Linked DNA regions of Neodiprion lecontei. The protein of the gene in region 2 purifies or fractionates together with the protein of the main gene of each other region. This does not show direct contact. Links are inferred from orthologs where the notes say so. Each region holds a gene or a part of one and is shown on either strand. Other genes may lie near its edges.

The links.
Region 1: the proteins of OTU domain-containing protein 5-A (region 2) and ruvB-like 2 purify together in Homo sapiens (affinity purification with mass spectrometry, with the first as the bait; 3 studies listed by BioGRID). This does not show direct contact. The link is inferred for Neodiprion lecontei from reciprocal best matches to the Homo sapiens genes OTUD5 and RUVBL2.

The regions. Positions count from the first base shown.
Region 1 is NC_060263.1:34,675,130-34,680,543, forward strand, and holds ruvB-like 2, read left to right. Parts: upstream 1-1,936; 5' UTR 1,937-2,068; coding exon 2,069-2,074; intron 2,075-2,508; coding exon 2,509-2,622; intron 2,623-2,738; coding exon 2,739-3,173; intron 3,174-3,238; coding exon 3,239-3,671; intron 3,672-3,711; exon of another isoform or gene 3,712-3,779; coding exon 3,780-4,048; intron 4,049-4,110; coding exon 4,111-4,216; intron 4,217-4,538; coding exon 4,539-4,564; 3' UTR 4,565-4,826; downstream 4,827-5,414. Other genes in the region: protein penguin, read right to left, coding at 1-1,479. UniProt on the Homo sapiens protein: Possesses single-stranded DNA-stimulated ATPase and ATP-dependent DNA helicase (5' to 3') activity; hexamerization is thought to be critical for ATP hydrolysis and adjacent subunits in the ring-like structure contribute to the ATPase activity.
Region 2 is NC_060264.1:33,609,474-33,616,219, forward strand, and holds OTU domain-containing protein 5-A, read left to right. Parts: upstream 1-1,749; 5' UTR 1,750-1,896; intron 1,897-2,046; 5' UTR 2,047-2,240; coding exon 2,241-2,381; intron 2,382-3,016; coding exon 3,017-3,108; intron 3,109-3,204; coding exon 3,205-3,323; intron 3,324-3,507; coding exon 3,508-3,656; intron 3,657-3,726; coding exon 3,727-3,882; intron 3,883-3,971; coding exon 3,972-4,128; intron 4,129-4,264; coding exon 4,265-4,476; intron 4,477-4,563; coding exon 4,564-4,683; intron 4,684-4,928; coding exon 4,929-5,084; intron 5,085-5,211; coding exon 5,212-5,404; intron 5,405-5,495; coding exon 5,496-5,641; 3' UTR 5,642-6,121; downstream 6,122-6,746. UniProt on the Homo sapiens protein: Deubiquitinating enzyme that functions as a negative regulator of the innate immune system. Has peptidase activity towards 'Lys-48'- and 'Lys-63'-linked polyubiquitin chains. Can also cleave 'Lys-11'-linked ubiquitin chains (in vitro).

The DNA.
Region 1 (5,414 bases), on a different chromosome or scaffold from region 2:
TTCTGTAGTAACAGTTTCTAACAACTTATCAATTACTGCGTCCAATAGCTCTTTTGCTCGTATTTCTGGTGGCTTTTTACTAGTTTCATTGGCATCACCTTTTTTAAGTTGTTCGATTACTTTCGGGTGAAAATAATGTGAATCCCTTCTAGCAACAAGATATAGAATTACGCATCTGCCATATTCATTTGACGCAATTTCTGTCAGATCATTCAGCAATTCTGTCAATATCATTTTCTTCACGAGAACTGTGTCGTCAATGCAGTCAAACAAAGCTAATAACACCATATGACCATGCTCGTTTGTCGCCACATTCTTGACTTGATCTTTCAATGCCTTCATCGCAAGTTTTCTGTCTTTCTTTGTACCATGCCACAAACAAATCATTGCAGACTTAGCACCATCCTTTGTCTGAGATAATTCTGCAATCAAACTTCGGACCATAGTGATCATTTCATCTCTATCATCTTTGGTGCAATTCCTTAAGAATTCAAGCAACACAGAATGTACAAGGGAGGTGTTAATCAGCTTCTTATTTAGTATTTTTATCAAATTTCCTTTGACAGCTGAGAGAGTTGCAGATTTCATATCTCCTGCAAGCTTATAGACATCAGCAAGTGTTTTGATTTGACTGTCCTTGGCTAGTTTGTACATATCACCATAAAATTCTTGTTTAAAATATAATTTATCTGCATCGGTCGCCCAAGATGAATATGCAAGTTCAAGTACTGGTGCAGATACTGAATGGCTTGCTAGCCTAACTATATTGCCACTACACGCCGCAATTATCATAGCTCGAATTTCATCTGTCCCATGCTTCAACAATGTTTTGACACAATTCTTGGCATACTTCGACTGTAACATTAGAACAATACTTTTCTGTAATTCATCAGTAACATTTTTTCTTATCTCAGAAGTGCAGTACTTGAGAAGCCATTGAACAATCCTTGCCATGTCATGCATGAAGACAAGTTTACTAAATTGTCCCTTGAGTAATTCGTATAGCTGCGTTGTGAGCTCTACACGCTCTTCTTTAGAACAATCTGCTCTGCGTAATTTTTCACCAATCTTCTTAGCTTTGACGGTAACATCATACGCATTCGTCAGTCTTTTTTCCCTTCGTTTTTCCCGCAGTTCTTTCTTCTGTTTTTTAAACTCTAACCAATCTGGTTTCTCAGTTGTGTCTGTGCTACCATTTATAGATTTGTATTGAACCTGAGTTTGTAGTCTTTTCTTCTTATTATTAATCTTGTCAAACAATTTCTGTGACTTGTCTGCCTTGGCAGGTTTCTTTGCAGCAGTTGGTTTTTGGAATTTACCTTTTTTCTCCAAAGCGTCATTTTTTTGTGAGATGTTCACCTTCTTTAGCTTCGCATCTGAACTTTTTATGATATTCACTTTGGCAGTAGGGTCGACAGCCGTTTTAGCTTTTTTAATTATCGGTTTAAGGCTCACTGCTTCCTTTTCCCGGCGTTTCATGATGACGATTTTTACCTGTAACTTGAAAAGAAAAATTGTACGTAAAATTTATCTAGCGTAACGTATTGTTTCTACCTTTCTGATGCTTCTGCAAGTATTTCAAACATTTCGAACAACGTGCGTGCAAAACATAACCTATTAAAGACGACACCGATTTATGAAAATTGAGTTTAAATTTTGGAAATACTTACTTCTCAGACTGAATTTCGAACAGCGTAAGCAAATCAGTAGTAATTATACTAAAGTCAGTGAATTATCGGATATTTATAAATTAATAAACCGCACCATAGAATCACTAAGCTAAGGTGTAAATTATTGCGCCAATGTACGATCACGTGGCGTGCACTTGGCTTTGCTTGGCTTTCTGAATTCTGGTAATAGGATTCACGAGGTAGCAGTTGCGTTGAGCTGCAGACACATTTCACGGTTAGTTACTTTCTGTCGCAGCGTGGCGCTGCGGCAATAAAATGACGCTAAATACTACCGCAAGGTTTCGCTACCCGTAAAAATGTACCCTACAGCGATGCGTGGCGCATGCAGAAAACTGTTTCCTTGGCAACTTTACGATCAGTCAACAGAGTTGTAAATCATGGCGGTAAGTGGAAATGCGTCGTAGATATTATGCATTTAAATTATTATTTTTCGCATAGAATTCGGCGAAAAGATTGATAAATTTGATATTTTCCTACTAGCTTATTGATTGAAGCTTACTCTGTAAATTCGTCTTTTCAAAAAACCTTCTTCTTCAAAACATAACCGTGTCGACATGCGGCGTTTGGCACGCGTGAACGGTAACCTACAAATTTGCGACGATCAACACAGTCTTCCGTCATTTCAATGTGATTCAATGCTAAATTTTATTGCAATCGTTTACTGCGGCATGTTTTAAAAATTGAAGATCACACTAACTATTCATTTGATCACATTTACCACTGACAATCCGTTGGTTGTTATTTTTTTATACTTAGATTAGACAACATTAAAGGTATCCAAGAACCAAATTCAGTAACAAAAAAAACTTTATTCCAGGCCGTCGCTGCAGCAAAGGTGCAAGAAGTTCGTGAGATCACTAGAATCGAGCGCATTGGCGCTCATTCTCACATTCGAGGTTTGGGACTGGATGACAGTTTAGAGCCGCGCAATGTAAGATTCACAATAATATATTATATTTGCAATGTATCCCAGCCTTGTATCAATAACTCGGAATTCAGCAAATATCATGTACAAATTTCGTTACAACAAAGATGAATTACTCGCAGGTTTCTCAAGGTATGGTGGGCCAGCTCATGGCTCGGAGAGCAGCAGGTGTTGTGCTCGAAATGATCAAGGATGGAAAGATCGCAGGACGAGCAATTTTGTTGGCTGGACAACCGGGCACTGGTAAAACTGCAATTGCGATGGGAATGGCCCAAGCTCTTGGTCTAGATACTCCGTTCACGTCAATGGCAGGCTCGGAGATTTATTCCTTAGAAATGGGTAAAACTGAAGCTTTAACTCAGGCGATACGAAAATCAATTGGAGTGAGAATCAAAGAGGAAACGGAAATTATCGAAGGGGAGGTAGTAGAGATTCAAGTTGACAGACCAGCTACCGGTGTTGGCGCTAAAGTAGGAAAGTTGACATTGAAAACAACCGAGATGGAAACCATTTACGATCTGGGCAATAAAATGATTGATAGCCTGATGAAGGAAAAGGTAAGTAAAGTGAAAACAGTTATAAATTATCGACAAAATTTAAATGAAAAATGTTTCCATTAAAGGTACAAGCTGGAGATGTTATAACGATTGATAAAGCCACTGGAAAAATTAACAGACTTGGCCGTTCGTTCACACGAGCTCGGGACTACGATGCGACGGGATCACAAACCCGTTTTGTTCAATGCCCAGAAGGAGAGCTCCAAAAACGAAAGGAAGTGGTACATACGGTTACTTTGCACGAAGTTGACGTTATTAACAGCAGAACTCACGGATTTTTGGCACTGTTTTCCGGAGATACGGGGGAAATAAAGTCTGAAGTACGGGATCAGATAAATGCTAAGGTTGCAGAATGGCGAGAAGAAGGAAAAGCTGAAATCGTACCTGGTGTTCTCTTCATTGATGAAGTACACATGCTGGATATCGAGTGCTTTTCATTCCTCAATAGAGCCCTTGAGAATGAAATGGCACCTGTCGTTATAATGGCCACTAATAGAGGTAGAGTTTTATATTTATTTAAGATTCAGTTTATTCTTACCCAAAGAAAATGTAATCGATAATTCCACTCCACCAGTGATTCCATTAACGGCATTTAATAATCGACAGGAATCACAAGGATTAGAGGTACGACTTACAAAAGCCCTCACGGTATACCGATTGATCTGTTGGATCGAATGATCATCGTGCCCACAAGTCCATATCAAGAAAAAGATCTTAAAGAAATTCTCAAAATTAGATGCGAGGAGGAGGATTGTGAGATGGCGGACGATGCTTTGACAGTATTGACGAGAATAGCCTTAGAGACGTCGCTTAGATACGCTATTCAGTTGATCACCACTGCGTCGCTTGTTAGTCGAAAGCGCAAAAGCACTGAGGTATGCGAATAAAATTATAAGTGTCGTCTTGTCAATTTGTACATACTTGATGTTCGTTGCAGGTCAATATTGATGATGTGAAACGTGTGTATTCCCTATTTCTTGACGAGAATAGATCTTCACAGTTCTTGAAAGAATACCAAGATGAATTCATGTTCAATGAATTGGGTAAGTTTTCTTACCATTAGATGTACCTACTTTTCGAATAATTCATTAATGGATTCAGACACGAAATATTTGATTCTGAGTGTAAACAACTACTTATTGTCCTTAGACACACACACACACACACACACACACACACACACACACACGCGCGCGCGCGCACACACACACACACACACACAAAATACTTATTATCAGATTGAGCTTCCACATACCTATGCTTGCAAACTGAAAGAAAATTGAAATATGAAATGAGAACCAATTTGATCATTTCCGTGTTTATATTGTATGTGCCGTTATGAAATGACTTTTTCTACTTGCGCAGAAGAACAAGCTATGGAAGTTGCGTAATAACTGACTGGATTCATCGAGTTTCTTTCTAAAGTTTGATGGAGTTGACAAAGTCGCACGTTCGGAGTTGAACAAAAAAATATAGATCTACCAACACAGGTATTGTAATTCCAGTACAATTCGCCGTTTCGCCGCGCTGGTTTTGTGTTATTTACCTTTATATGGCGTGCGAAACTTTGCTATCATCACGTACGAGCATACAAGTATATAAATAATTACACGACGGTTTATTATGAAATAATAAAAAATATAAAAAATATAATCTTGCATTTTTAAATAATCGTAGATTATACGTATATATTATTATCATTATTTTAATATAAAGCACTGGTTATAGTGTCTGTACCAACATTGGGCTGTGCAAATATTCGAGATTTTGTTCTACTTTTCTATATTCGTAATCTATTAGGTACGTACATAGTCTTATCAGTTACAAAAATGAAATGGGTTTAGAGTAGCCAATAGATCTTTGAAATGCGCAACAGAATATTATTACCTAATTTGTTCATTGCAAAACTTATGCGGATAAAATTGTTATTGATTTGAAAAAACCAATGTTTGTACAGAAAAATTAGTTTTTGGTGTAAAGCTTCTATTCCTCTATGATTAGACCCAACCTCGAAGTCAATTCAGGCATAATTGCACCAAAAACAAATGAAAAAAAACAATTTTATTATCATATTATTGATCCAACGCTAGTAAAACTTTTCAAGCTTTGGTTTGCAGTACTGAATCGATCGTTTTTCATTTATTCTATTTCCGTTTGGACAATACTTTTTTAGAACTGGGATTACTTAATTTCAAATTAATCTAACGCTTACGCTTATTTTTTTAAATTCCCGTGTCAAAG
Region 2 (6,746 bases):
GAGTGCAGCTCTGTAGCCTGCCTTTTGAAAAAGAGGGCAATAGTAGATGAACTGCAGTTTGCACTGAAATTCGCAAATTATTATAGAAAACTCTCACCATATCAATCACGCGCCAACAATGCCACAGTACAGTCAGAATAGAACTGGAGTAGGATCAGTGACACGTTTCGTCGTTCCAAACGATCGGCATCGCGTAAAATTTTATCGATACAGTGGACGGATGAACTTTGTCAAAACAGCATAAAATGTTCGGAGTAAAAATTCTTGATAGTATCAGGAAAAGTTTCGAGATATAGGCCAAGCATTTGCGAATGTTTGACAAAGTACTATAAATGTCAAGTACCGAGTAACAATGTAGATTCGCTCCGATTGCGAATGAAAACCGAAAATTTATGAATGAAGTGTAATACAGCTGGGTGGGTCGATAGAGCCCCCCTACGTCGTAGTAATCAATACAGGGGGTTGGGTAGGCGTCGAGGGTACAGGGATGGCAAAGTCCATTCAGTAGAAGCTGTAGGCTTGCTATTGATTACGTGGGTGGAAAAAACAGACTCCCTTCTCCGCAGCACCGCGCCTTCGCCTCCCTTCCGCCGACCCCAGGCCGTGGTGGAGGTAGCGTCAGGTCAAGTGGTGGGGATCGTAGTGCATCTGAGTGGGGGTGTTCAGGGGAGGAAAAACATCCCCTCGCCAAGAACTCCAAAAACCAGAGGGAGCCGTTGACGTTGTCGGCATTGGAGGAGCCGGAGGACCCTGCACCCACTCTAGGCCCCACGGGGGCGAAGTAGCTGGGTCGTCTAGGGCGGAGAGGGTGCCGCGGCGTTATCTTCGAATCACGACAAAGGTGCCTTGAGCGAGGTTTCATTCAATTTTGGCCAGTCATTACATTTCCCCGAACGTTCCGTTTCTTGTGCCACCCACGGATTAGCTCGGCGCTATTAAATATTAATGAGATGTAAGAAAACTCCGGCCAATTCATCCATTCACGCTCCTTGGGATCGTTTCTTCAACCCGTCTTCTGCTCCCACCCTGCGGTTCTTACCCGCCTTTTGCAGCTCATTTCTTTTGCCGCCAACCATCAGGAACTCTTCAATGAACGGCGAACAATGAATATCGGGAAAGCTTGTTACAGACAGAAGACGGACGAGACTGATAACTTGTCGCTAACTGTCCGATGCTTTATAATTAGCCTCGAGTACGAAGACCCCTCGTTTCCTTTTTTGCTTAATCAGAAATCATTGTTCCAGCCTCCCATTATTCTTCTTGATTCGATCGTGCAGTTAGGTAACTCTTTTAGAACATTCAGGCAGAATCTGAATTCAAGTCCGATGATGAGAAGTGAAACCTATTGTTGAGATTCTCACCCACAACTGCTGGAGCTGGACGATGCATAGAGGTTAAAGCACATCTCGCCTCAACCGCCTCAACGAATTAACAAGTCGCTGATTTACTAAACTTTTGATCGGCATGGCGTGTTCGCTTGCAAGCGTAAGGATAATTTTGTAGCAAATTAATAAATTTCAACATCGGTGCAAGGAAATGCTCGTATCAGATTTTTGCTCCCGGCAATTCTATAAAGTCCAAGTTCTTGATACGTACAAATATTGTTTCTTTTACCGATAAAACAGTCTCCTGATGTTGTATCGAATGAGACTACAGACGCCATCTATTGGCTGATGCCTGAAGCGGGCAGGCAGCGTCATCATCTTTTGACTGGAACCAGTGTCTGCCATTTCCGTAATCCATGGTCCTTGTGCCGCTGCTGCTGATAGTGCAAATATGGCGGCCACACAAAGCATTTGTAACAACAGTGCGTATTAATATCACAGTCAACAAATAACGGGGTTAGAACAGTCAGAGTTTGGAAGTGGAATGAAGTGCTGACGACAAATCACCTCGGTACAGACTGTTAATAAACGATTAATTTCCCTTAATTATATAACGCGATTCCCCGAATCGAGGATAAAATCGTCGTCGCCCTGCTAGTGCTGCGTATTATATCTATGTATTCATATATTTCAATAAAAAGTAATTGATGTTCGTTCCTAGTACTGTGCAGTCGTGATTTCGTTTCGCGATTCGGTCGTTAGGTATGACCTTCGCATCTTTTCGCCCCAGCAATAAACTGGCATTTGGAAATTCGACGAGGCGGTGAAACTGCGGACCGAGTTGAGTTACTCTGCTTATCGCACGCGAAGTATTTCTCCCGTTTTGTTCGCCCGTCGCTTTCGCGGCCGTCCATCATGACGATTTTGGCGAAAAAGAAACCCAACGGTACGAAGGACAGACGCGAGCCTGGCAACGGAGCCGAGGTTGATGTACACGGGGTTCAAGTCGAGCATGGAGCTGGTCCGATCGCCTTGCAGTCCAACAGTTCTTATCAGGTAATTAGAGAGACAATTTATGGTTAGAAACATCGCATTCGTTCCCAACCACGTTCGAAGGTTGAGAGAGAAGGAATAGAAAAATTTCACGTCCAGCAGTGGTCACTCATGGTAATCCATTACGTGTGACAATTGGTCTGAAATTAGAAATAAATGCTAATCAGTGTCGAAGGAAATTTTTGCATATAGATTTGACATCTACATTATTTGTTAATTGCGGATTGTGTAATTCCTGAAGTATTCATTTTCACAATATTGTAATGATTTGCCAATAAGCGACCTCTGAACAACACTTCTTTTGTTCCTCACGACATCTATATTTACCATTTGGATGAATGGTTTATCTATTATCTATCCTATGTATCTAGAGTTCAGATAATTGTTTTACTGGTAAACTGGTTTGTACCGATTGATAGATCATCAGCAAACATGCTTGCCTAGGAGAAGGAATCCTCTTTATCGTTGGCTGAAACACTGCGATGAAATCTAAGCTCTGCTTTCTACAGTCTGTTGCTAACATTTCCTATCTATTTCAACTAACGATACTTGTTAATCTTTAATTTTTCAATTCACTGAATTTCACATTTACGATTTTGCTAATCAAAGTTGTTCGTATCACCGATCTCTTATTACAGACTAGTGTTGATCGCCGGGAAGAAAAGCACTTTGAGGAGGCTAGTGGATCAAGCCATGGGAAACGTCATCGCCAACGTGCGAGTCCTCACAGGTATCTAATTTTCTCACCTTGTTATAAAGATAAACTAGCTCGATTGTTTCTCACCTTCCAAATCATCTTTATAATTGCTTGGTCATACTACAACAGCTGCATTGGCAGAACGTCCCGGTCTAAACGTGAAAGAGAACGAGACAGGGGTCGAGAGAGAGAAAGAGAGCGGGAAAGGCAAGCGACTCCACCAACGGCATCATGCAGTGGGCTGCAAGGTGAGAATTGCTCAATGAACTTGTAATGAAATTGTTCAATTGTGATTTTTTTGTTACAACGGTATTATTCATATACCTGAATTTATCATTTGCATACATCCGTAATCCTAGAAATAAAGAAGGAATCACCTTGCCACTAATTATTCTTCAAATTCTAACACTCTAATATTTGCCATTTTTTTAGGTACAGATGCTAATGTTATTGGAAACAACCGTATGGCAATAGTAGCTGGTGCTCCGAGCCTTGAGCCAGAATTAGCAAATGGCTATAACAGTGGGGATGAGTACACAGGTCGCACTGGAAACAATTTGACCATTGCGGAATGGCAAGAGGTTAGTGTTAGCTGCCATTAAAAGAGTAAAAAATAATTACTTGCTACTTCTATTTACAATGAATTTTCAGCGTGACCGATGGTTTGAAAAACGGATGCGGAAGATGGGGTTCGTGGTTAAAAAAATGGGTGAAGACGGAGCATGTCTTTTTAGAGCTGTCGCCGACCAGGTTTACGGTGATCAAGAGATGCACAGTGTCGTACGAAAGCATTGCATGGATTATATTGTGAGTAATTCACAATGATTTCGAGCTTTGTCATACAAAGAACTCGATATCAATAATGTTTACTATAGTGAAGGACCATTTTATTTCAGGCTGCCAATCAGGAATTTTTTTCCCACTTTGTTGCCGAGGATTTCTCTACTTACGTGGACAGAAAACGACAAGAATACGTCCACGGTAATCATATAGAGATGCAGGCAATGTCAGAGATGTACAATCGTAGCGTTGAGCTATTTTGCTACGGAACAGGTAAGCGATTCGATGATGTTGACAAAAGGCTATTTGGTAGAAGATATGTCTTCCATACTATACAAAATCACATGAAAATACTGTTGAATATAATTGACAAAGACGTTTTTCCTTTCGCTTCAATGAAACACAAAAGAACCGATCAACATTTTTCACGGGGTACACAAAAGCGACAACGAACCGATTCGGTTGTCGTATCAACGCGGCAGTCACTACAACAGCATCGTAAACCCCTATAAAGCAACAATCGGCGTCGGACTAGGTTTGCCCTCGTACAATCCCGGAGCGGCGGATCGTGCTCTCGTTTCTGATGCGGTTCGACAGAGCGAAGAACTGCATATTGAACAGGTTAGAAATTCTACGTTCGTTATTTTATTTATCGATCATTATTTCGGGAAAGTATGACTAATCCATCCTTATTTCTCGGTGACACAGACCATGCTTGAAGACAAGATAAAAGCCACCGATTGGGAGGCTACCAATGAAGCAATCGAAGAACAAGTCGCGAGAGAGAGTTACTTGCAGTGGTTACGTGACAATGAAATGCGTAAAGCTGTAAGTATAATGCCGTCAGGTAACCATCATTGCATCTCATTGATTAACGGTGATCTACCTCTACCGAATGTCGAATCAATTTAATTTACTTACCATCAAGCAACGCAGTAACAAATATTTCACATGCATCTATCCGTTTGTTTCTTTTGTTTATTGTTTTTATACTCGAGTGCTCTCCGCTTACCTGACACAGCTCACACTGTCATCAGTTACTCTCAGCTTAGTAGCTTGACTTTTTGTTTAAGCGGTCAGCTAGCAGCAGCAGCACCAGCACAGTCACCAGTGCCCAGCATAGCCACAACCACTTCCACCCTCATGGTGGTCGTGGACAAACGCGTGGGCTAACATCCTCCCCAACAACGACGCAAGCTAATCAGGATTCTGTCCGAAATTCCCCCAAGGTGAGCTAGTGTGACTAACTTTTAGCAGGAGAGCAAGTCTTTACTAACCCAGAAAACGAGATAATTAGCCATCTTTGCTCTGCAGGAATGAAATATGAAAGATTTCTTACAAAACTTTTCCCCTCAGGTTGGTGACTCGATAAGGTACAGCAGCAAGCGTTCTCCGCAGCATCAATCCACCCAGGGACCAGGTATGCCTCACCTGTCGTCCGATTTTAGCGTCGCACCACCATCTCAAGAACCCGTCCCAGGGAGCAGCAAGGAGTCTCACACATCGCCTGACATATCGCTGTTTAATCGTCTCCCTCCTGAAGTTTTTGGTGAGAAAATTCTAGTGTTCGTAACCGAGTTTATAGAAGTTAAAAGACCGGATGAACAGAGCACGAGACTGTACCGATTGATTTTCCACAGGTTTGACCGACTGGGAAGACAGTGATATCCTATCCAAAGTCCTTGCGACTTCGCAGCAAGAATATCTGGACAGCTTAAAGCAGTCGCGGGTACAGTCGGGTTCGGGTAGTGATGGGAACGTCGTAGCTGACTCGAACAAGAGTTAATTTGACTAAAAAAATCGGCTGTTTTTCAAATTGAATATGAATGATAATCAGGCACATCAAGAAAGTTGAAGAGAGCGAGGGAGAGAGAGAGAGCGAAAGAAAAAAAGAGTCGCGTTAGTTTCCTGCGTGATGCCAATTACTACGACCACCTGTTTTATACACCTCCGGGATAAAAAATATGATTTTACAGGCATTCCGGTTTCGACACGTTGTGCCGTGTGAATGCACTCTCTCGTCACATCTTAATTGTTTGCCTTTAGATTATATTATTATAGTATAAAACAAGGCACATAGCCTAAATCACAGGCTGGATAGAACTTCGCTATTTATTTCTTTAAATATTCGTAATAGTTTATTTCATCTTTTTTTTCGTTATATAATATAATTATTAGCGAAATGCTTTGAATGAGAGATTTGGTTGCATCATTTGTAACAAAAAAAATAAATCACTTGAGAAAAAACATTTTCCAACACTGTAAATTTAACAAAGAATTTTTTGTAAAACTGTTCCGAAATTATTGTTAATTCCCCACGCATGATTACCTACTAAAATATTAGACACGCAATTGACGAACTGTACTAGAGCGTATAATTGAATAAATTATACGGACCTACGAGTACACAGTTGTTTACGCTTCAATATACGCTACATTATAGACACTTTATTTCTACATTAATGTTTCACATACAGCATTGAACAACAATGTGTTTGCACGCTTACACCTTTTCAACGTACGGCGGAATTTCGTTGTAGGTACGTCACCCGACAACTTGTCCTTAGGATGGCTCAACTACTACTATTTATTTTACTCCGAGCACAAATATAACCTCGTTTGGTAGAGAGAATACGGCTGTGTCTCGCGCAGCGACGAGTTCCCTCTCCCACAACAAAGTTCCACTGTACCTACGTATTATTATTATTGGATTACCGATCACTGTAATGTGAATCGATCAGTACCTCTTTTTTTCCTTTTGTCGCTCCATATTTTTTTCCCATATACGTGCGAAGTCGAATAACGATAATCGATGAAGGGTAAATAACTTTTATAAAGCCGTGTAACTGTGGATACTGAAAAGATTCGACGTGCTTTTTAACCGCAGATAT